4 linked regions of the Anolis sagrei genome follow. The protein of the gene in region 1 purifies or fractionates together with the protein of each later gene. This does not show direct contact. Links are inferred from orthologs where the notes say so. Each region holds a gene or a part of one and is shown in the gene's direction. Other genes may lie near its edges.

Region 1 (7,571 bases):
TCAAATAGTTTCCAACTTACAGAGACCCTCCAGCAAAATTATCACATGGTTTCCTTGGCTAGAATTGTTTGAAATCTGGTTGCCTTTGCTGTCTTCTGAGGCGGAGAGAGTGCACTGCATCATAGTGAACCTGAGCATGTACGAAGTGCCATTTCCACCACCATAGACAGACCGAGCCATTTGCAATTGTTGTGAGCCTTCAAAACATTTCCAACCTATAATGATCTGATTGCAGGATTTTCATGGCAAGAGCATTCTGAACACTACCAACAATAGAATTTGGCCAAACTTCCTACACAGAACCTCCATGACCAACAGAAAATACTGTGTTTTCTGGTGGTCTTTGGTGACCCCTCTGACACCCCCTCGTGACCCCTCCAGGGGTCCTGACCCCCAGGTTGAGAAACACTGATCTATATAAATAAATTAATGAACATTATGGCAAAATTCATTCACAAAACCTGAGAGTCTATCTTTCCTCTTGCAGGGATCTGGCCATTTGACAGATTACCAGCCCAAACTAGGATAAGGGAGGGTTTCCTTTGATATGAAACCCTAAGGCAGCACTATTAGGAAGTTTTCTTAGCAAGAATATGTCAGAAGCTTTTCCTTGCCACAAATCCTGAGAGCTTATCCCTCCTCTTGCAGGGATTTGGCCATTGATCGATAATGAGCCAGGGATTTGGCCATTGATTGATAATGGAGTCTGGGTTCTCAACCCGAAAAAGATCGCATTCTTTCAGAATTAGCAGATTGAAAACTGGGGAAGACTCCTCTTGCTTCCCTGCTTTTGGGGACTTCTGTACCTTTAATGCAGTCCTGGGCAAGCTTGGGCCCTCCAGGTGTTTTTGGACTTCAACTCCCACAATTCCTAACAGCCGCTGGGCTGTTAGGAACTGTGGGAGTTGAAGTCCAAAACACCTGGAGGGCCCAAGCTTGCCCAGGCCTGCTATAGAGTTAGAAGTTCTTCCTAAGGTTCTTAAAAGCAAACTAGTCCAATGTGGACGAGGCAATTCTATTAGGAAGTTTTCTTAGCAAGAATAGATCAGAAGCCTTTCGTTTCCACAAATCCTGAGAGCTTATCTCTCCTCTTGCAGGGATTTGGCAATTGATTGATAATGAGCCACAACCAGAGGGCAAAGAGGGTTCCTTTGCACCAAACCATAAGTGAGTTTTCGTGGCAAGATTGGCTCCAAAGTCTTTCCTTGTCACAAAACCTAAGAACTTACCTTTCCTCTTGCAGGGATCTGCCCAGCCACAACCAGGATCATAGGCTCATTTGATGCCAAACTCTAAAGCATGGGATTGTTTTGGAAGAATTGGTTCCGAAGTCTTTTCCTTGTCATAAAACCTGAGAGCTTACCTTTCCTCTTACAGTGTTTTTCCATTAATGGTCTAACAATAAAACCTTGGTGGGACAGAGGTCCTTTTATGTCAAAATTTAAGATTTTCTTGCTTCCAAAGTCTTATCTTGTTCTAAAGCCAGGATGCTTACCTCTCCTCTTGCAGGGATCTGGCCATTGATGGCTGATCGATCAACCTCTTTGGTGCCAAACCTTAAACTATGGAATTTTCTTGGCAAAATTGGTTCCAAAGTCTTCCCTCGGTCACAAATCCTGAGCTTTTCCTTATAGCAAAACCTGAGTTCTTTCTTTTCCTCTTGCAAGGATCTGGCCATTGATGGCTGATCGATCAACCCCAAAAGCATGGGATTTTCTTGGCAAAATTGGTTCCAAAGCCTTCTTTCGGTCACAAATCCTAAGAGTGTTTCCTTATAGCAAAACCTGAGTGCTTTCTTTTCCTCTTGCAGGGATCTGGCGCTTAATAGGTGATCAGCCATAATTTGGGAAACAGTGGGGTATCCTTTAGTGCCAAACCTGAAGGTGATACTTTTTCTTGTCACAAAGCTGAAAGCTTATCTTTCATCTTGCAGGGATCTGGCTAAATTGATAGCTCATAAATCAAACCATGGGGTTTTTTTTGGGGGGGGGGGTACTTTGGTGCTCAAGGCAGCATTTTCATGGCAAGATTGGCTCAGAAGCCTTTCCATGCCAAAAAGCCTGAGTGTTTACCTTTCATCTTTCAAGCATTTGAGTACTGAGGAATCTTTGGTAACAAACTCAACAGTGCTTTTATTGGCCACTATGGCCACATCATGAGGAGTCAGCAAAGCCTAGAGAAGACAATTATGCTGGGGAAAGTGGAAGGCAAAAGGAAGAGGGGCTGATCAAGGGCAAGATGGATGGATGGCACCCTTGAAGTGACTGGACTGACCTTGAAGGAGCTGGGGTTGGTGACGGCCGACAGGGAGCTCTGGCGTGGGCTGGTCCATGAGGTCACAAAGAGTCGGAGACGACTGAACGAATGAACAACATGGTTCAGAAGGAAATCCTTGTCATAAAACTGGAGCGTTTGCAGGGTTAGATCATTAATCGCAACCAGAGGGAGTGGGTCTTTTGGTGCAAAACCCTATCAAGATGTGACATGTTACGAAGCCTGAAGACTTATCTTTCCTGTTGGAGGGATCTGGCTAATGGATAGATCAACACAATTTATCCAAATTTATAGATAGATGAATCTGTCAGGGTTGGCTTGATGCACCTTCCTCTTGGCCTGTTTCTCCTTTTCGCTCTCCATTCATGCCTCTTCGAATTCTGCAGCACTACTGGTCACAGCTGACCTCCAGTTATAGCGCTCAATTCGAAGAATTCGAAAAGGCACGAATGAAGGACGAAAGGGAGAAACGTGCCAAGAGGAAGGCACGTCAAGCCAACTCTGACTGGGACTGCCTTCCATCTGGAAACTGATGTCCTCGCTGCATAAGAACATGCGTATCAGGAATAGGGCTCCACAGCCACCTATGGACCCACCACCAAGACACTCCACTTGGAGGACCATCATCCTCGGGCTACGAGGGATCGCCTAACTAATTAAGAAAGACATTAATTATAGAAAAGCTATAGCCAAATGTGCTTACAGCAAGATGTCCCTCCTGCAGAGAACAAAGTTTTGGCAATTTAATAAACTTTGTCCATGTTTTTAAGGATAGAACCAATTAGGAAATGATATTAATAGCCCAGTAACAAATATTGTGTTGTATAAGTGTCACCAGCCACAAGCAGAGGGAAGTTTGTTTTGGTGCCAAACTTGAGATTTCCTGGGAAGAATGGGTGCAGAAAAAAGCCTTTCCTTGTCACAAAGCCTGAAGGCTTACCTTTCCCCTTGCAGGGATCTAGCCATAAGGTGGTTCAAAGGCAAAGAGGGTCCCTTGGGTGCCAGGCATTGGAGGGAGGCCACCTTACCCCTCATTCTCCTTGAGACATCCCAGGGAGAAAGGGTTCAGAAAGAAGCCTTTCCTTGCCGCAAAGCCTGAAGGCTTACCTTTCCCCTTGCAGGGATCTAACCATTGAGTGGTCCAAAGGCAGAGGGGAGACCCTTTAGTACCAGGCATTGGAGGGAGGCCACCTTACCCCCTCATTGTCCTTGAGATTTCCTGGGGAGAAAGGGTTCAGAAAGAAGTCTTTCCTTGTCGCAAAGCCTGAAGGCTTACCTTTCCCCTTGCAGGGATCTAACCATTGAGTGGTTCAAAGGCAGAGGTGAGACCCTTTAGTACCAGGCATTGGAGGGAGGCCACCTTACCCCCTCATTTTCCTCGAGATTTCCTGGGGAGAAAGGGTTCAGGAGGAAGCCTTTCCTTGTCTCAAAACCTGAAGGCTTACATTTCCGCTTGCAGGGATCTAACCATAAGGTAGTTCAAAATCAGAGGGGAGACCCCTTGGTACCAGGCACTGGAGGGAGGCCACCTTACCCTCCCCTCCCTCATTCTCTTTGAGATTTCCTGCTAAGAAAGGTTTCAGAAAGAAGCCTTTCCTTGTCGCGAAGCCTGAAGGCTTACTTTTCTCCTTGCAGGGATTTAGCCATAAGGTGGTTCAAAGGCAAAGGAGGTCCCTTAGGTGCCAGGCATTGGAGGGAGGCCACCTTACCCCCTCATTCTCCTTGAGACTTCCTGGGGAGAAAGTATTCAGAAAGAAGTTTTTCCTTGTCGCAAAGCCTAAATGCTTACCTTTCCCCTTGCAAGGATCTAACCATTGAGTGGTTCAAAGGCAGAGGGGAGACCCTTTAGTACCAGGCATTGGAGGGAGGCCACTTTAGCCCCTCATTCTCCTTGAGATTTCCTGGGAAGAAAGGTTTCAGAAAGCAGCCCCTCCTTGTCTCAAAGCCTGAAGGCTTACCTTTCCCCTTGCAGGGATCTAACCACTGAGTGGTTCAAAGGCAGAGGGGAGACCCCTTGATACCAGGCACTGAAGGGAGGCCACCTTACCCCCTCGTTCTCCTTTTCCTCCCCTGCATCTGAGTGAGCACCTCCTCCTTGGGTGGGGCGGTCCCGCGTGGGGCGGTCTCGGGTGGGGCTTGGCTATTTGAGCGCCTCCAGCCTTTCCCTGTTGCTTCAGCCCGTCTTTGGCGACCGAGGAGAACTCTTCGTCCACTAGTGACAGACACCCAGGTAGACCCACCCAGGTAAGGAGCCAAGGAGGGAATGGGGTGGCTTCTTGGCCTCTGGGTTCTCAACCCGAAAAAGGTCGCATTCTTTCAGATTGAAAACTTGGGAAAATCTCCTCTTGCTTCCCTACTTTTAGGGACTTTTGTACCTTTAATGCAGGCGTGGGCAAGCTTGGGCCCTCCAGGTGTTTTGGACTTCAACTCCCACAATTCCTAACAGCCGGTAGGCTGTTAGGAATTGTGGGAGTTGAAGTCCAAAACACCTGGAGGGCCCAAGCTTGCCCAGGCTTGCATTAAAGGTACAGAAGTCCCTAAAAGTAAAGGAAGCAAGTGGAGTCTTGGCTCCTAAGCCTTTCCTTGTCACAAAACCTAAGAACCTAGCTTTCCTCTTGCAAGGATCTGCCCATCCACAACCAGGATAATAGGCTCATTTGATGCCAAACCCTAAAGCATGGGATTGTTTTGGAAGAATTGGTTAAGAAGCCACAAAACCTGAGAGCTTACCTTTCCTCTTACGGTGTTTTTCCATTAATGGTCTATCAATAAAACCATGGTGGGACAGAGGTCCTTTTATGTCAAAATTTAAGATTTTCCTGGTTCCGAAGTCTTATCTCGTCCTAAAGCCAGGGTGCTTACCTTTCCTCTTGCAGGGATCTGGCCATTGATAGCCGATTGATCAACCCCTTTGGTGCCAAACCCTAAAGCATGGAATTTTCTTGGCAAACTTGGTTCAAACGTCTTTCCTTGGTCACAAATCCTGAGAGCGTTTCCATATAGCAAAACCTGAGTGGTTTCTTTTCCTCTTGCAGGGATCTGGCACTTAATAGGTGATCAGCCATAATTTGGGAAACGGTGGGGTATCCTTTAGTGCCAAACCTGGTAATACCATTCCTTGTCACAAAGTTGAAAGCTTATCTTTCATCATGCAGGGATCTGGCCAAATTGATAGTTCGATCGACTCCTTTAGTGCCAAACCCTAAAGCATGGAATTTTCTTGGCAAACTTGGTTCAAACGTCTTTCCTCGGTCACAAATCCTGAGAGCGTTTCCATATAGCAAAACCTGAGTGCTTTCTTTTCCTCTTGCAGGGATCTGGCGCTTGACAGGTGATTGGCCATAATTTGGGGAAAGGGTGGGGTGTCCTTTAGTGCCAAACCTGAAGGTGATACTTTTCCTTGTCACAAAGCTGAAAGCTTATCTTTCATCTTGCAGGGATCTGGCTATTGATGGCTGTTCAATCAACCCCTTTGGTGCCAAACCCTAAAAGCATGGGATTTTCTTGGCAAACTTCGTTCAAAAGTCTTTCCTTGGTCACAAATCCTGAGAGCGTTTCCTTATAGCAAAACCTAAGTGCTTTCTTTTCCTCTTGCAGGGATCTGGCACTTGACAGGTGATCGGCCATAATTTGGGGAAAGGGTGGGGTGTCCTTTAGTGCCAAACCCGAAGATGATACTTTTTCTTATCACAAAGGTGAAAGCTTATCTTTCATCATGCAGGGATGTGGCCAAATTGGTAGTTCATAAATCAAATCATGGTTTTCCTCTTGAAGGGATCTGACGCTTGACAGGTGGTCGGCCATAATTTGGGGGAAAGGGTGGGGTATCCTTTAGTGCCAAACCCAAAGGTGATACTTTTCCTTATCACAAAGCCAAAAGCTTATCTTTCATCTTGCAGGGATCTGGTCAAATTGGTAGTTCGTAAATCAAATCATCGTTTTCCTCTTGCAGAGATCTGGTGCTTGACAGGTGGTTGGCCATAATTTGGGGAAAGAGTGCGGTATCCTTTAGTGCCAAACGCAAAGGTGATACTTTTTCTTGTCACAAAGCCAAAAGCTTATCTTTCATCATGCAGGAATCTGGCACTTGACAGGTGATCAGCCATAATTTGGGGAAAGGGTGGGGTATCCTTTAGTGCCAAACCCAAAGATGATACTTTTCCTTGTCATGAAGCTGAAAGCTTATCTTTCATCTTGCAGGGATCTGGCCAAATTGGTAGCTCATAAATTAAATCATCGTGGGGCGTGGGGGGGGGGGGGATCCTTGGTGCTTAAGGTGGTATTTTCATGGCAAGATTGGCTCAGAAGCCTTTCCGTGAATCTTATTTCCTGCTTTTAAACCCATTGCAAGCTTGCTAATTCCTCCTCAATGGGATTTCCCTTCCAATATTTAAACCTGGCTCTCGTGCTTCCCTTTCACGCTTCCCTTTCTTCAAGGTAAACCTATCCAACACCCTAATAAGCCCCTTGTCATTGGGATTCATAGTTTCCACACCTTGTTGGTCATCTTTCTCCTTGTTAAATATTTAAAACTGGGGAGAGTTCCTTTTTCCATTCATGTCTGTGCAGAAGAGGAAATATTCCCTTTCCCATGCTTTTAAATTAGACTAATACATAAACACATAGATAAAAACCAATATATACATATGTCCATAAACAGATTTTCCACCAATACATACATTGCTATATACATTCCTGCCATTTACATACACATAAAAACCCCAGTGATTGGTTCACCTTAAGGGAAGTCATGGTATTTTGCCTTGGTCAGGCCACACCTGGAATCACACTATGTCCAATTCTGGGCACCATTGACTATAAGCTGGGATGTGTCCAGAGGAGGGTGGCACAAAAATCAAGGGTCTGGAAAACAAGCCCTACGAGGAGCGGCTTAAAGAGCTGGGCATGTTTAGCCTGCATAAGAGAAGACTCAGAGGAGACATGATGAGGGCCAGGCATAAATAGGCGAGGGGAAGTCATAGGGAGGAAAGAGCAAGCTTATTTTCTGCTGCCCTGAAGACTAGGACACAATGGAAAAATGGCTTCAGACTACAGGAAAGGAGAGCCCACCTGAACAAGAGGAAGAACTCCCTAACTATAAGGAGAGCTGTTCAGCAGTGGAACTCTCTGCCCTGGAGTGTGGTGGAGGCTCCTTCTTTGCAGGCTTTTAAGCAGAGGCTGGATGGCCATCTGTCTGGAGGGGTTGGAATGTGATCTTCCTGCTTCTTGGCAGAAAAGGGTTGGACTGGGTGGCCCATAAGGTCTCTTCCAACTCTTGGATACAATGATTCTGTTGT
Region 2 (8,517 bases), on another chromosome or scaffold:
GGTGATTTGGTATGCCCATACCAACAAGAACTTGCCACAATTTATTGTGATCCACACACTCCCAAGAATATTTTCCATTTCCCAATTTTCTCCAAATGTATGAACCCAATATAGCTGTATTTAATGTTCACAGCACAATTCAAGTGCCTATAATGATAGTCTTTGCCATGCCTTTGCTCTTCCAAAGTGTTTACTTTTTGGAGCAAATCTTATTTCATTTGGTTTTGTGTGTGTTGTTGATGACTTGTATTTTTTGTATTTAAATTGTTCTAACACTTTTGGCATACTGGATTATATAACAGAAAAAAATAAATGAAGTACAAATTTTACAAGTAAAATATTAACAAAGACACATGCCATCTGTAAATAAACAACTGCTATATGTTAGACTTTGAGCAATCTTTGCGAATTCAAGAATGCAAACCAGGAATGACAAAACTGCTGCTGGTATTATCATCTTAACTTGGAACACTTGAAAATCTTTCAGCAGCCAAGCCAGTTTTAGAATAGCTGCTATCTTATGTTTAAAGGTTAGCTCAGTGCCTTTCATTGTATGTGCTGCTGCCCAATTTTATATTTAACAGAACATCTCTGAGTCCTACTTGGTTGCAGAAAACGAATCCTTCAAAAATAAATCAACATAATGTTAGTAGTTATTTCAAGGGAAAGGCAAGGGCTCAGTAATTGATTACAGTGATGTTACTGCTTATCGGAGTCCTTTCTGCTTGTTCTGTTTTAACCCTTCAACTCCCTTAAACTTCACTATCACTCTTTAGCATTGCTCACATTGCTGCTTATCAGTAGCACTTTTATCCCTATGTGTTGTGTACACAGCTTTCTCTTTTTCCTCTAAACAAGAGGAAAAAATCCTGAATTTTAAAGCATGAGCCCTTCACAAAGACAGAAATGTAATTTATAAATGTGGATCACATATTAATTTTACTGACAAATATAAAGCAAGGTTAAATAAAATCAATACTTTCATTTGGTATTTAGATAGAACATAAACTTTTAATTGCTATTGGTTGTCAAGCCTGCATAGCATGTTTTTTGACTGTCCGTATTGCTACTTTGAGAATCAGCCACAGGTTCCTGTATGGTACAAACAATCTTCATGCACACAGAGGAGGAATCACTGGCGATATAAGATATGGTAATGCCACAGAAAAGCCACCACAAAGTAGCAATTTATAGCCTCATCCATTGTATAAGACATGGTCAGCTCTTCATATTTAGAAGTTCTGCATCCACTGATTCAACCAACCATGGCTTGAAAATATTTGGGGGGGAAAAATCCCAACGCAAATGCCAATTTTTTTTCATGCGCTGAGAACTATGTTGATGTTCAGGCATACCCTACTGCAGCATTCAACCATTACAACTTCTTGGGCCCTCTCTGGCACTCAATTGAGTTGTTTATCATTTTACATGAAGGTTGCTATTCCGGATAATGTGAGTTGAGAATCTGTAAATGTTGGTATCCACAGATATGAATGTCATGCTACAACTCTGGAAACCAGTGTTCAGTTCCCAGTAGCTGGATGATCTTGGGCAGGTCACACACTCTCAGCCCCAGAAAAATTGTGATAGGTTCACCTTAGAGTCACCATAAATTAGAAATGACTTGAAGGCACCTGGAACCAACCCAGTGGATGCCAAGGGCTCACTGTAAATGAAATGCTGGAGTTGCATAAGGTTCATTGACTGATAGTCTTTATTATAAAATGTTGTCCAGGTGTTGGAGGGGCGTTGCCTGCCTGCTTTCTCTCTTCTCCAGCTCTGAGAAGGCTTACCTCACAATGTCTCCATGCCAATGCTCTGGCAACAATAGGCAGGCTCTCTTTGGCTGGATCTACACTGCCCTATATTCCAGGATCTGATCCCAGATTATCTGATTATCCCAGATTATCTAGCACTGTAGACTCATATAATCCAATTCAAAGCAGATAATCTGGTATCAGATCCTGGGGTATAGGGCAGTGTTGATCTTGCCTTTGTAGCTCTATCCCTCCATCATATATATTCTCCTGCCTCCATCATATATATTCTCCCACTCTTTTCTTCCTTTCTTTCCTCCTTCTCTTGCTTCCGCTCATACACTTCACTCATTCCTTTCCCTCTCTTCTTTACCCTTCCTCCCTTTTCTTCCCTTCTTTTCTCCTTTTTTCCTTCTCCTCCCTTCCTTTCCCTCCTCCTCCTCTTCCTAAGAGATAGATAACAGCAGACTCTTCCATGTGTGTTTGGATATGCTTAAAGATGCATTTTCTCTTACCCTTCTTATGCTTAAAGGTGCATTTTTCTCTTACTCTTCTTTATGTTCCAACCATAAATTAACAACAACTTGAAGGACCATAAAAAGAGGGTTCTGGAGTCAAACCCAGCACATCATATAATTATAGAGTTGGAAGAGACCCCGAGGGCCATCCAATTCAACTCTCTGCCAAGAAGCAAGAAAATTGTATTCAAAGCATCCCTGACAGATGGCCTTCCAGCCTGTTTTAAAGGCTCCAAAGGAACCTCCACCACAGAGAGTTCCACTGCTGAGCAGCTCTCACAGTTAGGAAGTTCTTGCTAAGGTTCAGGTGGAATGTCCTTTTCTGTATTTGAAGCCATTGTTCCACATCCTAGTCTCCAGGGCAGCAGAAAACATGCCTGCTCCCCCTTCCCTATGACTTCTCCTCACATATTTATACATGGTCCTCATCATTTCTCTTCTCAGCCTTCTCTTCTGCAGGCTAAACACGCCCAGCTCTTTAAGCTGCTCCTCATAAAGCTTGTTTTCCAGACCCTTGATCATTTCAGTCCTCCTCCTCTGGACACATTCCAGCATGTCAACATCTCCCTTCAATTGCAGTGCCCAATATTCCAGGTGTGGTCTGAGAGATGTTAACAAGCTGGAATGTGTCCAGAGGAGGCCGACTAAAATTATCACGGCTAAATATGCCCAGCTCTTTAATCCGCTCCTCATAGGGCTTGTTCTCCAGACCCTTGATCATTTTAGTTGCCTCCCTCTGGACACATTCCAGCTTGTCAACATCTCTCTTCAACTGTGGTGTCCAGAATTGGACACAATATTCCAGGTGTGGTCTAACCAAGGCAGAAGAGAAGGGTAGCATGACTTCCCTGGATCTAAACACTATACTCCTGTTGATGCAGGCCAAAATCCCATTGCTTTTTTAGCCGCCGCATCACATTGTTGGCTCATGTTTAACTTGTAGTCCACAAGGATTCCAAGATCTTTTTCACATGTACTGCTTTTGAGCCCCATTCTGTATCTTTGCATTTCATTTTTTTCTGCCTAAGTGGAGTATCTTGCATTTGTCCCTGTTGAACTTCATTTTGTTAGTTTTGGCCCATCTCTCTAATTTGAATTCTGTTCCTGTCTTCTGGAATATTGGCTCCAGAAGCAGTCAAAAGAGTGGAGGCACATTGTTTCTCCTCATCTAAAGAAGTTCAGGGTGCAAAAATCAGCCACTAAGGTGATGGTGAAAAACTGTAACAGTTAGGAAGTTTTTCATGGCCGGAATCACTGGGTTGTTGAAACATTCACACCTAGCTGCAGCAGACAAAAGTCCTTTGTCCCACCCTGGTCTTTCCACAGATATACAAACCCATTTCCCTACTTCCAACAGACCTCACTACCTCTGAGCATGCTTGCCATAGATGCAGGCGAAACGTCAGGAGAAAATGCCTCTAGAACATGGCCATATAGCTCGGAAAACCTACAACAACCCAGTTAGGAAGTTCTTCCTAATGCTCAGGTTTGAATCCATCATTTGTCGAGTTTGGTTCGGAGCCATCATTTGTGGAGTTCACAGCACTTTTGGGATGCGGTAATAATAATATCGAGGATAGTTTTGACAGTGTGGTCAATGAATTAGAACCAGACATCCTGAGGAGTGAGGTTGAATGGGCCTTAAGAAGCACTGCTAACAACAAGGCAGCAGGAGACGACGGGATCCCAGCTGAACTGTTTAAAATCTTAAAAGATGATGCTGTCAAGGTGATGCATGCCATATGCCAGCAAATATGGAAAACACAAGAATGGCCATCAGACTGGAAAAAATCAACTTATATCCCCATACCAAAAAAGGGAAATGCGAAAGACTGCTCAAACTTCCGTACAGTGGCCCTTATTTCTCATCCCAGTAAGGTAATGCTCAAGATCCTGCAAGGAAGACTCCAGCAATACATGGAGCGAGAGTTGCCAGATGTTCAAGCTGGGTTTAGAAAAGGCAAAGGAATGAGAGACCAGATTGCCAATATCCGCTGGATAATGGAGAAAGGCTGGGAGTTTCAGAAAAACATCTACTTCTGCTTCATTGACTATTCTAAAGCCTTTGACTGTGTGGATCATAATAAATTGTGGCAAGTTCTTGGTGGGATGGGCATCCCAAGCCACCTTGTCTCTCTCCTGAGGAATCTGTACAAGGACCAAGGAGCAACAGTCAGAACTGACCACGGAACAACAGACTGGTTCAAGATTGGGAAAGGTGTACGGCAAGGCTGCATACTCTCACCCAACCTTTTTAACTTGTATGCAGAACACATCATGCGATGTGGGGGGCTTGATGAATGCAAAGCTGGGGTGAAAATTGCTGGAAGAAACATTAACAACCTCAGATATGCAAATGACACCACTCTGATGGCCGACTGACCTTGAAGGAGCTGGGGATGGTGACGGCCGACAGGGAGCTCTGGCGTGGGGTGGTCTATGAGGTCACGAAGAGTCGGAGACGACTGAACGAATGAACAAAAATCACCCACATTGGTACATACTGATGGGGCCTGCACTCTGCACGTTCTCAGGAGTCCCCCTCAATACAAACTTTGGCTTTCAGGCATGGGTCGGGATTTGGAAGTCCAAAATACCTGGAGGGAGGAAGTCTGCCCTTGCCTGAAAGAGAGAGGGAGTCCCTTCCAGGTGTGCGACTTCTCTGAGCTCTTCATGCTTGGAGCACAGGAGAAGAATGGGCCATTCTTGTGAAACCCAGCCTCGCCATTGGAGGAGCCCATTGGCCAATGGCGCGGAGGGGGGGCCGCGCGCGAGGACTTCTCCTTCTTTGCGAAAGAAAGTCCGTGAGTCAGAGGCGTGAGTGCGGGAAGAAGGCGCGGCGGCGGTGGTGGGGCCTTCCTCCTCCTCCTCCTCTTCTTCTTCCCGCCCAGAGGGAGAGACTCCTAGACAAAGAGGGCGGGGAAGAAAAGGCCGCCCCTGTTGCCTTCCCGCCGCGGTTGCAGGAAAAGGGAAGGAAGGAAAGAAAGAAGGGCTGGCGGGCGGACTCCTGGCTCGGCCACCATGCCCACCAGCTTCACCGTGGTGCCTGTGGAGGCGCCGGAGGGAAACCCCGACGGAGAAGGAGAAGCCGACCGCGGGGAAGAGGAGGGGTCCGGCTGCGAGCGCTGCAACCGGTGGCAGCCTCGAAGGGAGAGCGGAGGTGAGTGGAGCCTGGGGGCGTGTGGTGGTGGCGGGAGGCCTTCCTGGCTTTGTTACCTCAGAGCAAGCGAGAGAGGCGCTCAGGTGGCGCGCGCCCCGTTACCTGCCGCGCGCTGCCTGCTGGGAAGGAGCACAGCCAGCCCCCCTCCCCTCCAGAGAAACGCAGGTCCGAACTTTGTTTTGTTCCCGGTCCCACAGGTGGCCTCTCCTCCGCCGAGGAGAAGGGGGCGGGGCCAAAGCCGAGGGGGCGGGGCCAGCCAACGAGGCTCAAAGGCTGGAAAGGAATCAAGCCGAGCAATAGTATGATCTCCAAGGCTTTCATGGGGCCCTTCCACACACCCATATAACCTAGAAGGCAGAAAATCTCCCAATATCTGCTTTGAACTGGGTTATTTGAGTGCTCTATACCTCAGGATCTGAACCCAGATATCTGCTTTAAGCTGGATTATATGAGTCCACACTGCCAGATAATCTGATGCCATTGTGAAAACTTTTCCATTTGAAATAGCCTTTAACAAACCACTTTATGATCCTACAGGAAATTTTAAACTGATTTTAACTTTACTATTTATAGTATGGATTATTTATCGTGTCAGGAGCGAACCAAACAGTTGTATTGTATTTTATTATTGCGTGAGCTTCTGCTTTCAGCCCTAGCTTCTGTCAGCCTAGCAGTTTGAAAACATGCAAATGTGAGTAGATCAATAGGTAACGGCGCTCCATGCGGTCATGCTGGCCACATGACCTTGGAAGTGTCTATGGACAACACCTGGCCAGGGCCGTAGCCAGAAAAAATTTTCGGGAGGGGTTGAAATTTTCGGGGGGGGGGGGGGGTTGAAATCTGCCTCCTAGCTCACGCTGAAGCAAGGAGCACAGCAGGGGGCAGAGCAGCCTTCAATAGCCTGCAGCTCCGCCCCTGTCAACCACCTCCACCAAGTCTGGCCTCCTTATTTTATTTATTTATTATTTGAATTTATGTGCTGCCACTCTCCTGGGGCTTGGAGCGGCTTACAAGAATGGCTAAAATCTAACACAATTTAAAAACAATTTAAAACAATTTAAAAACAGCAATATCAAAAAATCAAAGGCCTGTCGAAACAGATATGTCTTACATGCCCTGCGGAAATCTGATGAGTCGCCCTTGGGGGCTGAGAATTGTGGTATATAAGCGCAATAAATAAATAAATAAATAAATAAGTCCCGCAAGGCATGGACTTCAGATGGCAGAGTATTCCAGAGTGATGGTGCCACTGCTGTAAAGGCTCTGCGTCTGATTGCTATTAGACGCAAGGTCTTGACGCTGGGAATTTCCAACAAATCTTGGTCCTCAGAATGGAGGGATCTCTGGGGTTGGTAGGGGGTGAGGCGGTCTCTCAGGTACATCGGCCCCAGACCATGCAAGGCCTTAAAGGTGAGTACCATCATCTTTAATGAGAGCATTCAACCCCTCCCCCCCCCAACTTGGTTGCTTCACTACATTGGCTATTGCTGCAAGTAATGACAGTGTGAATAAATTGTCAATATTTTCTTTAGATAGTGCTTGCAGTTCTGGAGGGACTTAATTTTTTTGCATCTCATAGACTTAGCATGGGGATTTGATTAACCATTTAAAATTCATGAGTAAACCAGGTTTTTTTAAAAATATCTGAAACATTTCGGGGGGGGGTTGAACCCCTAAAACCCACCCCTCGCTACAGGCCTGACGCTGGCTCTTCGGCTTAGAAATGGAGATGAGTACCACACCCCAGAGTCAGACATGACTGGACTTAATGTCAGGGGACAACCTTTACCTACCTATCTAGCATCTCCCCAAGGACTCTATGCGGCTTACACAGGCCAAGGCCTCAATAAAACAACAGCATAACAAAAACACATAACTTAAAGCAAATCAAACAATAAAACAATAGCAGTGAACAATAAAAACAATACACCACGACACAATAAAACTAGGGCCGGGCCAAATGTAATGGGTACAGATTAAAAAGTGCTGGGTGTGATAGGTGGATGTAGGATTTTAGGGTAAGTGCAATGTGCAGACCATCTTAAAACTCTGATAAAGTGCTTCTGGGACATATTGCTGGAGTTCCTATTCTGGAAGGGGACATCAGAACAGCCAGGTCTTCAAACTCTTCCTAAAGACTGCCAACGCAGAGGCTTGTCTGATGTCTTTGGGGAGGGTGTTCCAAAGTCAGGGGGCTACCACAGACAAGGCCCTGTCCCTCGTCCCCACCAAATGCGCTTGCGACGCAGGTGGGATCGCAAGCAGGGCCTCTCCGGATGAGCGAAGAGAATGCGTGGGTTCATAAACGGAAATGTGATCACGCAGGTAGGCAAACTTGGTAATAAGGTAAAGGTAAAGGTTTTCCCCTCACATTAAGTCCAGTCATGTCCAACTCTGGGGTGTGGTGCTCATCTCCATTTCTAAGCCAAAGAGCCAGTGTTGTCCGTAGACATCTCCATGGTCATGTGGCCGGCATGACTGCATGGAACGCCGTTAGGTACCTATTGATCTCACATTTGCATGTTTTCAAACTGCTAGATTGGCAGAAGCTGGGGCTGACAGAGGGAGCTCACGCCTCTCCAAGATTCGAACCTGCGACGTTTCAGTCAACAAGCTCAGCAGCTCAGCGCTTTAACCCACTGCACCACCAGGGGCCCCTTGGCAAATTTGGTATTTATATAAATAAAAATGATGCTTGTTTATGGGATTAACATAACTCAAAAACCACTAGACGAATTGACACCAAATTTGGACACAATACACCTATCAGGTCAACAAGTGTCCATCACTCATAAAAACACTAAAAAACACAGTGGAAGGGACTTTAAAAGCAAAAAAAAATTAAAAATTACATTATAATGCATACGCAAAACCACATATATATGCAAACACACACATATACACATATACACAAATATACACACACACAAAAACACATATACACAGACTGGGCCACAGCAATGCGTGGCAGGGGATGGCTAGTTCTATTATAAAAGAATATAGTGTGGATGATGCTATGGAGCATTCTTGGAACTGTTATCATTTGTTTTTAGCTTTGGTTGTATGTTACGATGTATATTTT
Region 3 (7,505 bases), on another chromosome or scaffold:
TTCTATTTACTAAGCAAGTTAAACCAAAACATGAACTCACAATCCGGGTACCACAGGGCCATCCAAATGTCCTTAACGGTATGCAAGTTTTTGAGTTCTCACCAAGCTTTCTTCAAACTAAATGGTACAAAAACTCAATAGCCTAGTTGAAGTTCTGGAGAACATTTTTTTTTTTTTTGGCATTTTGGTTGGTAAAGGTAAAGGTTTCCCCTGACGTTAAGTCGATTCATGTCTTACTCTGGGGATGGTGCTCATCTCCACTTCTAAGCTGAAGAGCTGGCTCTGACACACTTTCTAGGTCATGTGGCCAGCATGACTGCATGGAGCGCTGTTACCTTCCTGCAGAAGCCGTACCTATTGATCTACTCACATTTGCATTTTTTCGAACTGCCAGGTTGGCTGGAGCAGGGCTAACAGTGGGTTAACCTGCTCCCTTGATTTGAACCACCAACTTTCAGCAACTCAGCGGTTTAAACTGTTGCGCCACCCAGGTTGGTACTCTTAACAAATTATTGACCAAGTACACACTTTATTTTTCCTTGTAACCCACCAAAGTTACTTTTGCTTTTTAAGGGGATTCTAAGCTTTCCAGGCAATAATCCCAAATGATTAAATCCATGGAAAAGGTCAATACGAAAATATTTTGGAGCAAACTGAAAACTTGTGTGGTCTTCTGGTCTTCCCAGACTTTTCTATCAACAAATAGTTTTAAAAATTAATATCATAATCTTCTGCTGTCATTTAGAAAGTAAATTCTCCTGAGTTCAGTGGTGTATATTCCCAGGAGTGTAAGGTTACAACCTAAAACAATGTGTTCATTATGAATGTACCCATGGAAAGAGACTGGAGCCCTGAACAGATGTGTCACTGCGTACACTTCCATTTCTTTAAATGAGTTCCAAACTAGGATGGGTAGGAAAGGAACACAATAAAAGAGCTGATATGATTAATACTGCACTTGAATACATCACAGATCGGGGTGGTGGTGGTAGTAGTAGTAGTAGTGTCAGGTGTAATTGGAGGACATTGAATAAAAGTAAGCAGGCACTGGAAACATAAAAAATTGTAAAACCATTCATTCATGTTTCATCTGTTGAATAACAAAGTTACAGTGATTATTTTATTTTCTAAATGTAAACACAAATGCAAGTTATAACTCTTTCATTGTCAAGTCCATTGGTAGGTTATAATAAGCAAGCATTGGCAGGCAAGCATGCCATGGATTGTCAGTAAACTGTGCATGTTCTGACTTGATTACAATATGATATTATAAACAGGCAACACATATGAAATCTAATTCTGATTGTTTTTGAATTATATTACAGTTAACAATAGTGCAAATTTTAATTCATGCTGTTGACAAAGATAGAACCAAACATTAATGAACTGATAGCAGAACATCAGGTTTATCATTCTGATTAGATTTTTTTTTAAAAAAAACTTTTAATTTAATATTACCTTCTTTAAGTGAACAGAAGCAAATTTGCATTCTTTTATCTATCTCTACTTCTACATATGTCCTACAACATAGTACAGGAAGATGTAAATAAGACACCTTGAAGCCTGAAGTTATACAATTGTGTATTAAAATCAACCTAATAACATTCATATTACACACTGTCTGCTTCATTCAGAAAAATGCTGCACTCGCAGAGCTCAGGCGGTGTTGTATTTCAGTGTCAATGTTGACTTTTGTGGAGAGGTGGCTGCCAAGGTCCACTGGCTGCCATTTATTTTCCGAGCCCAATTTAAGGTGCAGGTGCTTACCTACAAAGCCCTGAACGGTTTGGGACCACCCTACCTGCGTGACCGTATCGTTGTCTACGAACCCACACGTTCACTCCAATCATCTGGAGAGACCCTGCTCGTGATCCCGCCCGCATCACAAGCGCGCTTGGTGGGGACACGAGACAGGGCCTTCTCTGTGGTGGCCCCCCGCCTCTGGAATGCCCTCCCGAAAGACCTCAGACAAGCCCCTACATTGGCAGTCTTCAGAAAGAATTTGAAAACTTGGCTGTTCCAATGTGCCTTTTCAGACTAGGAACCCCAGTACCAAATCCCAGAAGCACTTTAGTTAGAACCAAGATCACCGCACACCGCACTTATATTATAATCCCATATCCCTCCGACACATCAGCACTTTTAACCCTGTACCCCCACTCTGGCCGGCTCAGTTTTAATAATGTCTTGTTGTACTGCTATTGTTATTGTTCTTGCTTAACTGTTTATTTGCTAGGTACTGTATTGTTGTATTGTGTGGGCTTCGGCCTGTTGTAAGCCACATCGAATCCCTTGGGAGATGCTAGCGGGGTACAAATAAAGTTATAATAATAATAATAATAAGGTAGCAGAAATGTTACACCATTAAGCTGTATTTCTGGCATTGCAGAGGGATTGGCTGGTGACTGCTGGAAGAACTGGGCGGCGGCCTTCTCATCGCCTCCACTGCTCCCCGCTTCTTCCTCAGAGGCCCCTTGGGCGCCGTTGACGCCACTGCCAGGCTGTGATGGGGCCTGATCTTCCACACTCCGCGCTGAGGCCTCACAAGCGGGAAGAAACAGAGGCCCAGCCCAGAGACATGCCCCAGGGTAAGGCCCAGCGCCTGGCTCCCCCTCCTCCCCGTGGCTCCCAAGGTAAGAAAAAACCTGTGAAACAGCAAGCCTGCAATAAGCAAACTGCGAAGTAGAGGGGGAACACTGTACATGGTCTAAGAGGTGCCAATGCTTTGATCAGGTGTGCTTCCATGATGTCTTAAGCTTGCTTTTCTGGCAGAAGTGTGTTTGTGATTCAAGTGTAGATACACCCTGGGATGTATTCCCAGCTTATACAGGGTGAGGCAGCATAACTTCCTTTTTTCAAAATTTAATAAAACCCATTGTATGAATCAGAATTTATTTATTTTTTTACAATGTCGGCGCATTCCTAATAAAATTTTTAAATGTAGTTTTGAAGATCAAATTAGGTAGGTGACGTCCCCCATTCTCCATACACTGAGTAATCCGATTTCTAGCTTTTTTCATGACTCTTGCCAGCATAGCAGGTGTTATGTTAGCAATTTCTTCCTGGATGTTGGTCTTCAAATCTTGTAGGGTCCTTGGACGGTTCACATAAACACGGAATTTCAAAAAACCCCATAGAAAAAAATCACAAGGGGCCAAATCTGGAATGGGCCGGCCACTCCAAATCCGCTCAAAAAGTAGGCCTCAACGGCAAAAGCGCGCTCCTGACTGTTCCAATGCATGATGGCGACTGAACTGTGTCAGAACAAAACTTTATAATCCCGCCTCTTGAATGAGACCACTAGAGCTCCGCTACATCTTCAACCAACTGAATGGCGCACATTTTAAAAAGGAAGTTATGCTGCCTCACCCTGTATGTGACCAACTCAGGCATGGACAAAGTTTTTGCCTTGGGCTGCATAGTGGGCCTGACCGAGAGGGTGGGTGTGCCAGGCCGGGAGAGGGCATGTGAGAGGGCGGGGCCATGAGGGGGCGGGGAAGGGCCCAGGTCAACCTCAGATTGTCCTCTTGACATAATTTTTATTTATAACCACATACACCAAAATAGAAACAAAACTACAACTGGATTGTTGTAGGTTTTTCGGGCTATATGGCCATGTTCTAGAGGCATTCTCTCCTGACGTTTCGCCTGCATCTATGGCAAGCATCCTCAGAAGTAGTGAGCCCGAAAAAACCTACAACCCAGTGATTCCGACCATGAAAGCCTTCGACAATACATAAAACCCACATTTGGGAGGCATAGCAGTTAAACTTGTATCTAACTGCATTCATTCTACAGTGTAGCTGCACCCAAGGTTTGCTCTTGGGATTTTCAAGGAATATTTTGAAACACTGGGTGCAGAATCCGTGGATACAGAGGCCTGGCTGTACATGGCTGTGAGGTAATTTTTTTTCCAATTAGGGGACATGATTCCATTTCAACCCTTGTTGAAGGTTAAGCATAAGCATCTCAGAAGAGCACATTTAGCAAGAGGTCGGTTGCCATCCTATAATAAAAGGTCTTCAGGCAGCAGCAACACGATGCTGGAGGGCCGGCCTCGAGGCACGCGCTTTGCTCGGAAGGAAGGAAGGAAAAGGAAGGAAGCTCCCGCAGGCACGAAAGAGAAAAGGAGCAACAGCTGCGCGCCTCCTCGCGAGATTTGGGCCTTGACAGTTGAAGCGGCGTCAAACTGTATTCATCCAGCAGTCTAGACTAGGCACGGGCCAGCTTCGGCCCTCCGAGTGCTTTGGACTTCAGCTCCCACAATTCCTAACAGCCTGGCTAGATGCACCCTTGAAAGCGAAGAACGATGGGTGGGAGGTGCTTCCGTCTCTTCCTGCCTCTGCCGCCGCCTCGGGCAACTCCTAGAGGCGCCGGCATCCGCTCCACTCCGCCCGGTCCAAACTCCGCCTTCCTTCTATCTCTCTTTTTCTCTCCCTCCCCTTCCCTCTCACGGCGGATGCTTTAAAGCTCCGAGCCGCCCCTAGAAGCAGGCCATTGGCTGGGCTGGCAGCCGGGCCGCGTTCTCTTTTTTGCCGGTTGTTTTTGCCTTGTATCGGGCGCCCGGCTGGGCTGTTTGTACTGAGAGAGAGAGAGAGAGAAAGAAGAAAGCCAGGGAAAGGCAGGCAGCCGCGGGAGGCACGGAAACACAAGCTAGGGCGCGCGAGCCGGGCAAGGGAAGAAGGCAGGCGAGAGGCAGGGAAACAGACTGGTGCGCGCGAGCCGTGCAAAAGGGAGGAGGCGTGAGCAAGGCAGGGAAACACAGACTAGGGCGCGCGAGCCGGGCGAGGGAAAAAGGCAGGCGAGAGGCAGGGAAACAGACTGGTGCGCGGGAGCCGTAAAAAAAAGGGAGGGAGGCGCGAGCAAGGCAGGGAAACACTCACAGAGAGGCGCGCGAGAGAGGCAGGGAAACACACAGCCTGGGGCGCGCGAGCCGGGGGAAGGAGGCGCGCGCGAGAGAGAGAGGCAGGGGAACGGAGACTGGGGTGCGCAAGCCAGGCAAAGGAGGCAGGCGCGCGCGAGAGAAGCTGGGAAACAGGCAAGGAAGGGAGGGGGGCAGGCGCGCGCGCGAGAGAGAGAGAGGAAGGGAAACACACACAAGAGACTGGGGCGCGCGAGGCAGGGAAACAGACTGCGCGCGAGGGGGCGTGACGTCACCACGTTTTTTCTCTCTCTCTCTCTCTTCCCCTCAGAGTGAAGTTAGCGCGCGCGAGGGAGGGAGAAGGAAGAAGGCGAGGCGAGCGAAAGGAGGGAGGGAGGCCGGCCTCTCTGGTTTCCCCCGCATCCTGCCTCCATTTCTCCTCAGGCGAGCGTCAAAGCGGGAGCATCCTCTCTTCCTCCCTTCTCTCTCTCTCTCCACCTGGCGCAGAGGCGGAGGGAAAGCCGAGAAAGGGGCCGGGCTTGGGCTTTTTTTCCGCTCTTGCCCGCCCTCAGAGGCGTTGTCTCCCGGAGTGCGGCATCACTAGAAACAGAAGCAGCAACGGCTGCTCCGCTTAAAGCGCCCAGGCACAGCCTTGCGCCCTTTCTCGTTCCCCTCGCGGAGCAGCCGCAGCAGCCGCAGCCAACATGGAAGGGAAGGCGCCTCACACTCCTCCTCCGGCGAGGCTCAAGGCTGCACCCGAAGCTGCCCGGGAGGACGCCGCCGCCGAGGAAGACCCTTCTGCTGCCTCTTTGGGGCGGCCCTTGGGACCCACGCCGAGCCAGAGCCGCTTCCAAGTGGACTTAGTGGCGGAAAACGCCGCCAAAGAGGGGAAGGGGAAGGAGGAAGAGGAAGCGGCGGCCCCGAGAGCGAAGAAGGACGCCAAAGGCGACGGCGAGGAAGCCAAGGGCCGGTTCCGGGTGAACTTCGTGGACCCTTCTTCGGCCGCGGACGATGGCTCGGGAGACGTCGGGATCGGGCTGGAAGGGTGCAACGTCAGCTTCCAAAACGGCGGCGACACGGTGCTGAGCGAAGGCAGCCTCCACTCGGGCTCCCATCACCACTACTACTACGACACGCACACCAACACCTACTACATGCGCACCTTCGGGCACAACACCATCGACGCCGTGCCCAGGATCGACTACTACCGGCACACGGCCGCCGGCCTGGGAGAGAAGCTCATCCGGCCCAGTCTGGCCGAGCTCCACGACGAGCTGGACAAGGTGAGAGAGACGCCGCTTTGGCCCATCCGCACAGCCACGCGTTCTCCTTTGGGACGCAGTGATGCAGGAGTGACTGCGCTGAAAGGGCCTTCTCCTGGGACCTTTTCCTTCTGTAGGGAGGCCAGGTGTTTGGGATTCAACTCCCAGGAGACTCAACAGCTGGAGGAGCCCACTTTGGGAAACGCTTGGTTGTGGAAAGGAACCCATTGGATAATGCAAGCATGGCCAACTTTGGCCCTCCATGTGTTTTGGACTTCAACTCCCACCATTCCTAACAGCCTCAGGCCCTTTCCTTTTCCCCCTCAGCCGCTTAAGCGGCTGAGGGGGAAAAGGAAGGGGCCTGAGGCTGTTAGGAATGGTGGGAGTTGAAGTCCAAAACACATGGAGGGCCAAAGTTGTCCCATGCCCTGGGCAACAGAAACCATGACACTTTCAGCGATTCCCAAACTGGTCTTCTAGGCTTCAACTCTGAGGAGATTCAACTGTCTATCTCCATTGCCATTGTTAAAGGCCCTGCTCTCGGTCCCACCACCTTTGCAGTGGGGATGAGTGACGGGGCCTTCTCAGTGGTGGCCCCTTGGCTGTGGAATTCCCTCCCTAGTGGAATTGGATTGGCCCCTTTCCCTCCTGTTGTTTCGCAAACAAGTGAAAACTCGGCTTTGGAAGCAAGCCCAATACAATTATCTGTGCAATACAGTTGGAATTGACCCTGGATTGATGAATATGATTGTCTGATTATCTGGCTTTGGCTCTATGCATAATAGTTGTCTGTCAGAGGTGCTTTGAATGCAATTTTCCTGCCTCTTGGCAGGGGGTTGGACTGCATGACCCACAAGATCTCTTCCAACTCTATGATTGTAATGTTTACATATGTTCAATGTATTGTTGAAGGCTTTCATGGCCAGAATCACTGGGCTGTTGTAGGTTTTTTGGGCTGTATGGCCATCTTCCAGAAGCATTCTCTCTTGATGTTTCTCCTGCATCTATGGGAAGCATCCTTTCACAACCTCTTCAGCAGGGGTCCTCAAACTTTTTAAATAGAGGGCCATGTCAGAGTCCCTCAAACTCTTGGAGGGCCGGATTATAATTTGAAAAAAAAACATGAATGAATTCTGCACATATCTTATTTGTAGTGCAAAAAACACTTAACAACAATACAATAATTAAAATGAAGAACAATTTTAACAAATATAGACATATTCGTATTTCAATGGGAAGTGTGGGCCTGCTTTTGGCTGATGAGATAGGATTGTTGTTGTTGTTGTGTGCTTTCAAGTCGTTTCAGACTTAGGTTGACCCTGAGCGAGGACTGTGTAAATGACCTTGGAGGGCCGTATCCGCCCCCCGGGCCTTCGTTTGAG
Region 4 (8,169 bases), on another chromosome or scaffold:
AGCTCCCTGGCGGCCGTCACCACCCCCAGCTCCTTCAAGGTCAGTCCAGTCACTTCAAGGATGCCATCCATCCATCTTGCCCTTGGTCGGCCTCTCTTCCTTTTACCTTCCACTTTCCCCAGCATAATTGTCTTCTCTAGGTTTTGCTGTCTCCTCATGATGTGGCCAAAGTACTTCAACTTTGTCTCTAGTATCCTTCCCTCCAATGAGCAGTCGGGCTTTATTTCCTGGAGGATGGACTGGTTGGATCTTCTCGCATTCCAAGGCACTCTCAGAACTTTCCTCCAACACCACAGTTCAAAAGCATCTATCTTCCTTCGCTCAGCCTTCCCTAAGGTCCAGCTCTCACATCCGTAGGTTACTACAGGGAATGCCATGGCTTTGACTAGGCGGATCTTTGTTGCCAGTGTGATGTCTCTACTCTTTACTATTTTATCGAGATTGGACATTGCTCTCCTCCCAAGAAGTAAGTGTCTTCTGATTTCCTGGCCACAGTCTGCATCTGCAGTAATCTTTGCACCTAGAAATACAAAGTCTGTCACGGCCTCCACATTTTCTCCCTCTATTTTCCAGTTGTCAATCATTCTTGACTTTGTAACTAGGCTGTTTTAAATACTTTCTGCAAGTATTAACTGCATTAAATACTTTGTAACCAAGCTATTTAAAACACTTCCTGCTCTTGTATGGGCTTGCTACAAAGATCTGCATGCAAACCCACTCTTAAGATAAGAGTGAGACCTTTCAGTAGTAACTTCCTCAAATTCCTCCTCACAGGAGTACATTTAAGGACTCCTTTTAGAATCATAGAGTTGGAAGAGACCACATGGGCTATCTAGACCAGCTCCCTGCTATCCAGTAAAAGCACTATCAAAGCACCCCCAACAGACAGCTATCCAGCTTCTGCTTAAAAGTCTCTAAAGAAGGAGCCTCCGCCAGACTCTGAGGCAAAGAGTTCCACTGTTGAAGAGCTCTCATAATCTTATCAAATATTAAGGACTAAACATGCAAAACCATCTTATACAAGGGCAACAGATGGAGAGAAAAGTAAACTTTACTTTCTTTCTGGTCGGAATTAATGGAACCTTCATTATAAGAACACCCCCCCCCCCCCGAGTCTTAAACTCAAAGAATTACATTCCATCTTGTCCATATCCTTCCTGAATTGCTTCACACAGAATTGGGTTGTTATTCCAGGTGAGATCTGACCAAAGCAGAAGAGAGGGGCACCATGACTTCCCTTGATCTAGACCAGGAGTTCTCAACCTGTGGGTCCCAAGGTGTTTTGGCGTACAACTCTCAGAAATTCCAGCCAGTTTACCAGCTGTTAGGATTTCTGGGAGATGAAGTGTTTATTTTATTTTGGTTTATTTTGATTTTATTTTTTATTTTATTTTATTGCGTCATGTTTTAACCTATGTTTTTCTGGGATTGTCCCTATGTATGCCACCCTGAGTCCCTTCAGGGAGATGGAAGCGGGGTATAAAAATTGTTGTTGTTGTTGTTATGGAAGGGCCCTGATTCCACACTGGACCCTTCCACACTGCCCCTATGGCACCTTCCACAGAGCTGTATAAAATCTCACAATGTCTGCTTTGAACTGGGTTATCTGAGCCCACACTGCCATATATTCCGGTTCAAAGCAGATATTATGGCATTTTCTGCTTTGATATTTTTGGTTATATGGCTGTGTGGAGGAGCCCCCGGTGGAGCAATGGGTTAAAGCGCTCAGCTGCTGAACTTGCTGACCAAAAGGTCGCAGGTTCGAATTCAAGAGGCAGCGTGAGCTCCCACTGTTAGCCCCAACTTCTGCCAGCCTAGCAGTTCGAAAACATGCAAATGTGAGATCAATAGGTACTGCTCCAGCAGGAAGGTAACGGCATGCCATGCAGTCATGCCGGCCACATGATCTTGGGGGTGTCTACGGACAACATCAGCTCTTCGGCTTAGAAATGGAGATGAGCACCAAACCCCAGTTGGACATGGTCTTAATGTCAGGGGAAAACCTTTAACTTTACCTTTGGTTGTGTGGACAGGGCCCTAGGGCCCTTCTACACAGCCCTATATCCCAGCATATCAAAGCAGAAAATCCCACATTATCTGAGTGTGGACTCAGATAACCCAGTTCAAAGCATATATTGTGGGATTTTCTGCCTTGATATTCTGGGATATAGGGTTGTGTGGAAGGGCCCTAGGACTCAATGGAGCCGAGAGTTCCAACGACAGTGAAGGAGATTCCACGTGAACATTAGGAAGAACATCCTGACTGTGAGAAGAGCTGTTCAACAGTGGAACTCTCTGCCTCGGAGTCCTTCTTTGGATGTGATTAAGCAGAAGCTGGATGGCCACCTGTCGGTGCTTGGATTGTGCTTTTCCTGCCTGGCAGAAGGGGATGGACTGTATGGCCCTTTGGGGTCTCCTCCAACGCTAGGACTTTGAGATGGGACTTAGGCTGCTGAGCTGAACGGAGAACCGCTGCCTTCAGCCAGGATGGCACTTACTGGATCCTCTGAGCGGTGGTGCCATTCCCCGTCCGGGCTCGCAAACTGGCCAGGAGTAACACGCGCATAGCTCTGTCCCTGCACCTCTTGCCCTACTTCCGGGCGGCGTCGCGTGACCTTCTTTCCCCCTTTTCAGCGGCGCCGGAAGCCACCTGTCGGCTCAAAGGGTTGTGGGTAGGGCGCCGCGTCTGCAGCCATGGCAACCACGGACGCTGTCGTCCAACCCGCCAGCCGCCTCCCCGCTGAAACAAAGCCCAGGAAAGGTCGTTCCGACTCTAACCAACCAGCCCTGGGTTATCTGAGTCCACAGTGCCATATATTCCAGTTCAAAGCAGATAATGTGGGATTTTCTGCCTTGATATTCTGGCATACAGGGCTGTGTGGAAGGGCGCTTGGTTAAACCATTCCAGCTTCAGATGGGGTTCAAAAACAACTCTGTGAACATAGAAAAATAACTGCTGAGGTTGTAGCCTTGTCTTTTCACATGTCAGAATATGAGTAATCTCACACGGATGGGGTGGAGACCCATGTTGGGCAATATTATTGACATGGAGGGACATCAATGGCAGAGAAAGTGGAGCGGCAATTGATCACAGGGAACTGAATAATCAGTAAGGGAACTGTGGACCATTTTGTCCTCTGGATCCTTTGGACAACACCCCCGCCATCCCACACCATTGGGTGGGGCTTCTGGGACTAACGTGTGAAACTTCTGGAAGTCACAAGTTCCACCCCAGGTAGAGAACTTGATTTGGAGGCAGGTAGACCTGGGTTTGATCCCTGACATTTCCAAGTAAATACTATCAGGAAGGAGGTGAGAAGAAAGGCATAAGATACTGGACAACTGCTGAAATATAGAATAGATGCCTATGTTGGATGGGGTTACACTCCCCCTGAAGATGCAGGTTTGCAGCTTGGATGTGATCCTGGACTCATCGCTGAGCTTGGAACCCCAGGTTTTGGCGGTGATCAGGGGAGCATTCACACAGTAAAACTTGTGCACCAGCTGCGCCCATACCTTGGGAAGTCTGAATTGGCCATGGTAGTCCATGCTCTCGTTACATCCTGTATAGACTACTGCAATGCTCTCTAGGTGGGGCTGCCTTTGAAGACTGTTCAGAAGCTTCAGTTGGTCCAACGGACAGCAGCCAGGTTGTTAACAGGAGCGGCACTCAGGGAGCGCACAACTCCAATGGCTGCCAGTTTGCTACCAGGCACAATTCAAAGTGCTGGCTTTAGCCTTTAAAGCCCTAAAAGGTTCTGGCCCAGTTTACCTGTCTGAACACATCTCTTCCTATGAACCATCTAGGTGTTTAAGATCATCTGGAGAGGCCCTGCTCTTGGTCTCGCCTTCTTCGCAGATCTGATTGGTGGGAACGAGAGAAAGGGCCTTCTCAGTGGTGGCCCCCCGACTATGGGAAGCCCTCCCTAGGGACATTAGATTGGCCTCCTCCCTCCCGACATTTCAAAAGAGAGTTAAGACCTGGCTGTTTGAGCAGGCATTTGCAGACAAAGTATAACTGATTGAGACTCATGGAACGACAGGACGATGCAACGGAAAATGATTCTAATGATGAGACGCTGAGAACTGTATTTTATGGTTTTAATTGTTAATTTTTTTTATATGGTTTATACTATATGTAATTGTTTTTTACTGTATTTTATCTTGTGGGGCATTGATTGCCAAATGTAAACCGTCTCGAGTTGCCTCCGGGCTGAGAGAGGCTGTATACAAGTATAGTAAATAAATACATAAATAAATAGATGCTGCTTCAGGGTCCTTCCACGAAGCCATATAACCCAGACTATCCAGGGAGAAAATCCCACAATGTCTGCTTTGAACTGAGTTATCGGAGTCCACACTGCCAGATATTCCAGTCCAAAGCAATTAATGTGGGATTTGATTCAGCTGTGTGGAAGGGGCCTGGGATAAAAGGGCCTGTCTGGAAAAACAAGCCACTGCAACCGGCCTGGTAGTTGGACAGAAAACGTAGGAGAAGATATAGTGCCCTCCCAGTCATAGTTTCCTCCTACGTTTGGTGTCCCTCGAGCAGGCCGGTCGCCGTGGCTGGTGATGGCAGCCCTTTGGGCCCTGGCCCCTTCCCCAGCCCCCTCCACAAAGGACCTCTTTCGCAGCTGTTCACCACGTGAGGCCTGGACCTGGAAGAGCCTCCCGGGCTTGAAAGACGCGCGGAGCGGCCAATCAGAGAGCGGAGCCGCGCTTCGGAGGAGGCGGGCTCTCCAGGGAACCTGGGCATTCCAAGCGCGGAGAGAGAGAGAGAGAGAAGTTCGTCGCCGCTGCCCCCGAGGGAGGAAGCGAGGGTCTAGGGAACGGCAGGCAAAGCGGGGATTCACTTAGATCAGGGGGAGGGGGCGCGCGCGTAGGAAGGGCCCGGAAGATTCAGATTCCCACCAGCTTTTCCGCGAGTTCGAATCCCGGGCGGGGCAGCTAAAATTGGGCTGAGTTTGGAGGCCCGGAGGCATTGGGAGGGGCTGGGACTCTAAGAAGGGGCAGCCTTGGAACCCCTAAACGAGTTTGATCTGTGTTGAGTGGACTGGGAGGGAGAAAGGTCAGAGATTGGCCAAAGGGGAGGTTGCTGACTCCTAGAACCCTCAAGACAGTGGGCAGTAGGGTCTTGGGGACACAGCAGGAGAGACTCAAAGTTGGAGGTCTGTTCGAATACTTTCTGGAAGTTGTTGTAACTCAGTCGCCTTGACCTTGAAGCCGGGCCAAGCCTTGAGGGTTTCATCACCCATCATCCCCATGGAAGAGGCCCAGGCGAGTGAGCGGAGCCCCCTCCTTGGAGAGCAGGCCCGCTCACCTGTGGGGTCCTCTTCCGTGTTCCACGGGCGGCGCTTGGCGTGTGCGGCGGTGCTCCTGGCTGAGCTGCTGGAGAGGGTGGCCTTCTACGGCATCACGTGCAACCTGGTGCTCTTCCTCAATGGCACCCCGTACAACTGGGAGGGGGCCCAGGCCAGCCAGGCTTTGCTGCTCTTCATGGGCATCACCTACCTCGTGTCTCCCTTTGGGGGCTGGCTGGCAGATGCCCTGCTAGGCAAATTCCCCACCATCTTGGTCAGCATGGCCTTGTACCTGCTGGGGATGCTGGCCTTCCCGGCCATGGCCTTCCCCACCACCCGGCAGTGGCTCTGCGGCGAAATGCACCCATGGCCCGTGGAGAACTGCTCTGCACCTCTGGACACCAACGTGACATCGCCGCCGTGCCAGCTGGAGGGAGCCACCCGCTATTGCCTCGCTGCCACCTTCATTGGCCTGGTGCTTGTGGGCATCAGCGTCGGGTCGGTCAAGGCCAACATCACACCCTTCGGAGCCGATCAGGTTGAGTACCACAATTCCACAAGTCTCATGCGCCATCGAATCTAATGCGCACCTTCATTTTCGAAACCCCGAAACCAAAAAAAGTATTTGTAGCTGAATGTAATGTGCAGTCTTTGGGCCGTTCCACACAGCCAAATAACCCAGAATATCAAGGCTGAAAATCCCATAATATCTTCTTTGAAGTGTGTTGTCTGAGGGCCCTTCCACACAGCCCTGTATCCCAGAATATCAAAGGCAGAAAATCCCACATCTGAGTGTGGACTCCGATATCCCAGTTCAAAGCAGATATTGTGCGATTTTCTGCCCTGATATCCTGGGATATAGGGCTGTGTGGGAGAGCCCCCAGAATATCAAGGCAGAAAACACCCACAATATCTGCTTTGAACTAGAATATATGGCAGTGTGGACTCAGATAACCCAGGGCCCTTCCGCACAGCTCTATATCCCAGAATATCATGATAGAAAATCCCACAATATCTGCTTTGAACTGGGTTATCTAAGTCCACACTCAGATAATGTGGGATTTTCTGCCTTGATATTCTGGGATATAGGGCTGTGTGGAAGGGCCCTGAGTCCACACTGTCATATATTCCACTTCAAAGCAGAAAATGTGGGATTTTATTCAGCTGTGTGGAAGGGGCCTTTGTCATTTGGCCGTTGTAGTTGCTGCCTGATTAGGATTCCTTCTATAAAAACAGAAGTGTTAGAACGCCAAAACTTCTAAAAATGGAAAAGAAAACCTCAGGCTGCATCGATGGTATGGAAAGAATCCACTGTAATTGCCCTGGTTCAGTGCTATGGAATCATGGAGCTGAAGTTCTACAAGGTCTTGAGCCTTTTCTGCCAAAGAAGACCAATGCCTCACCAAACTACACATCCCAGGATTACATAACATTGAGGCATGGCAAATAAATTAGAGATAATATTCCCCAAATAAGAGCTCTGGGTGCAGTTCCTGAAGCTGCTTCCCCTTTTGCATTGGCTCAGCACTAAGGCCCCTTCCACACAGCTGAATAAAATCTCACATTTTCTGCTTTGAACTGGAATATATGGCAGTGTGGACTCAGATAACCCAATTCAAAAAAGAACTTGTGGGATTTTCTGCCTTGATGTTCTGGGTTGTACGGCTGTGTGGAAGGGCCCTATGATGACCTAATGCACACTCTAATTTGGGAAGGTAATTTAGTCGAAAAGGTGAGCATTAGATTTGAGTAAATAGGGTATTACCCCCACTGCCTTGCTCTTAGGGCCCTTCCACACAGCCATATAACCCAGAATATCAAGGCGGAAAATCCCACAATATCTGCTTTGCACTGAGTTATCTGAGCCCACACTCAAATAATGTGGGATTTTCTGCCTTGATATTCTGGGATATAGGGCTGTTTGGAAGGGCCCTTCGAATGAGATTGCACGTTGCTGTGGGAACCAGTCAAGCAGACGGATTTCCTGACTGTCACTTGGATTGATGAAATTGGATAAACATGTCATAGATCAAAGCTTTCCAAACATTTCCTGTTGGTGACACACTTGTTAGACATTCATGATGTCGCGACAGAAACGCATACATAAATTGTAATAACGAAAAGCATCATTTGTTGACACAGGGCCCTTCCACACAGCCATATAACCCAGAATAGCAAGGTAGAATAACCCACAATATCTGCTTTGAACTGGGTTATCTGAGTCCACAATGCCATATATCCCAGTTCAAAACAGATAATGTGGGGTTTTATTCAGCTGTGTGGAAGGGGCCACAGTCATTTAGTCTTGCTAGCAAACTGGAGGCTATTTATTTATTTATCGTGTCATCCGCAACCAGAACGTTGTATTACATTTCTAACAGAACAAAAACAAACAAACAGATTTAAAAAAACCCACAAATTTTGCAAACTTGGTAGCTGATTAAATGTCCTTTGACCAATATCTGGCCACTTGGAGTGCCTCTGGTGTTGCCGCAAGAAGGTCCTCCATCATGCATGTGGCAGGGCTCAGGTTGCATTGCAGCAGGTGGTCAGTGGTTTGCTCTTCTCCACATTCACATGTCGTGGATTCAACTTCGTAGCCCCATTTCTTAAGATTGGCTCTGCATCTCGTGGTGCCAGAGTGCAGTCTGTTCAGTGCCTTCCAAGTCGCCCAGTCTTCTATGTTCCCAGGGGGGAGTCTCTCATTTGGTATCACCCATGGATTGAGGTGCTGGGTTTGAGCCTGCCACTTTTGAACTCTCGCTTGCTGAGGTGTTCCAGCGAGTGTCTCTGTAGATCTAAGAAAACTATTTCTTGATTTACGTCATTGACGTGCTGGCTGATACCCAAACAGGGGATGAGCTGGAGA

The links.
Region 2: the proteins of LGALS3 (region 1) and SLC12A7 purify together in Homo sapiens (affinity purification with mass spectrometry; 3 studies listed by BioGRID and IntAct, counting the BioPlex papers as one, with this or other methods). This does not show direct contact. The link is inferred for Anolis sagrei from reciprocal best matches to the Homo sapiens genes LGALS3 and SLC12A7.
Region 3: the proteins of LGALS3 (region 1) and SLC12A2 purify together in Homo sapiens (affinity purification with mass spectrometry; 3 studies listed by BioGRID and IntAct, counting the BioPlex papers as one, with this or other methods). This does not show direct contact. The link is inferred for Anolis sagrei from reciprocal best matches to the Homo sapiens genes LGALS3 and SLC12A2.
Region 4: the proteins of LGALS3 (region 1) and SLC15A4 purify together in Homo sapiens (affinity purification with mass spectrometry; 3 studies listed by BioGRID and IntAct, counting the BioPlex papers as one, with this or other methods). This does not show direct contact. The link is inferred for Anolis sagrei from reciprocal best matches to the Homo sapiens genes LGALS3 and SLC15A4.

What each region holds. Positions count from the first base shown.
Region 1 is NC_090021.1:336,975,451-336,983,021, reverse strand, and holds the start of LGALS3 (galectin-3), read left to right. Parts: upstream 1-4,409; 5' UTR 4,410-4,518; intron 4,519-7,571. UniProt on the Homo sapiens protein: Galactose-specific lectin which binds IgE. May mediate with the alpha-3, beta-1 integrin the stimulation by CSPG4 of endothelial cells migration.
Region 2 is NC_090024.1:105,603,961-105,612,477, reverse strand, and holds the start of SLC12A7 (solute carrier family 12 member 7), read left to right. Parts: upstream 1-5,086; 5' UTR 5,087-5,296; coding exon 5,297-5,435; intron 5,436-8,517. UniProt on the Homo sapiens protein: Mediates electroneutral potassium-chloride cotransport when activated by cell swelling. May mediate K(+) uptake into Deiters' cells in the cochlea and contribute to K(+) recycling in the inner ear.
Region 3 is NC_090022.1:237,137,643-237,145,147, reverse strand, and holds the start of SLC12A2 (solute carrier family 12 member 2), read left to right. Parts: upstream 1-4,432; 5' UTR 4,433-5,565; coding exon 5,566-6,144; intron 6,145-7,505. UniProt on the Homo sapiens protein: Cation-chloride cotransporter which mediates the electroneutral transport of chloride, potassium and/or sodium ions across the membrane. Plays a vital role in the regulation of ionic balance and cell volume.
Region 4 is NC_090034.1:38,968,274-38,976,442, forward strand, and holds the start of SLC15A4 (solute carrier family 15 member 4), read left to right. Parts: upstream 1-4,718; 5' UTR 4,719-5,262; coding exon 5,263-5,838; intron 5,839-8,169. Other genes in the region: GLT1D1 (glycosyltransferase 1 domain-containing protein 1), read right to left, coding at 2,499-2,566. UniProt on the Homo sapiens protein: Proton-coupled amino-acid transporter that mediates the transmembrane transport of L-histidine and some di- and tripeptides from inside the lysosome to the cytosol, and plays a key role in innate immune response.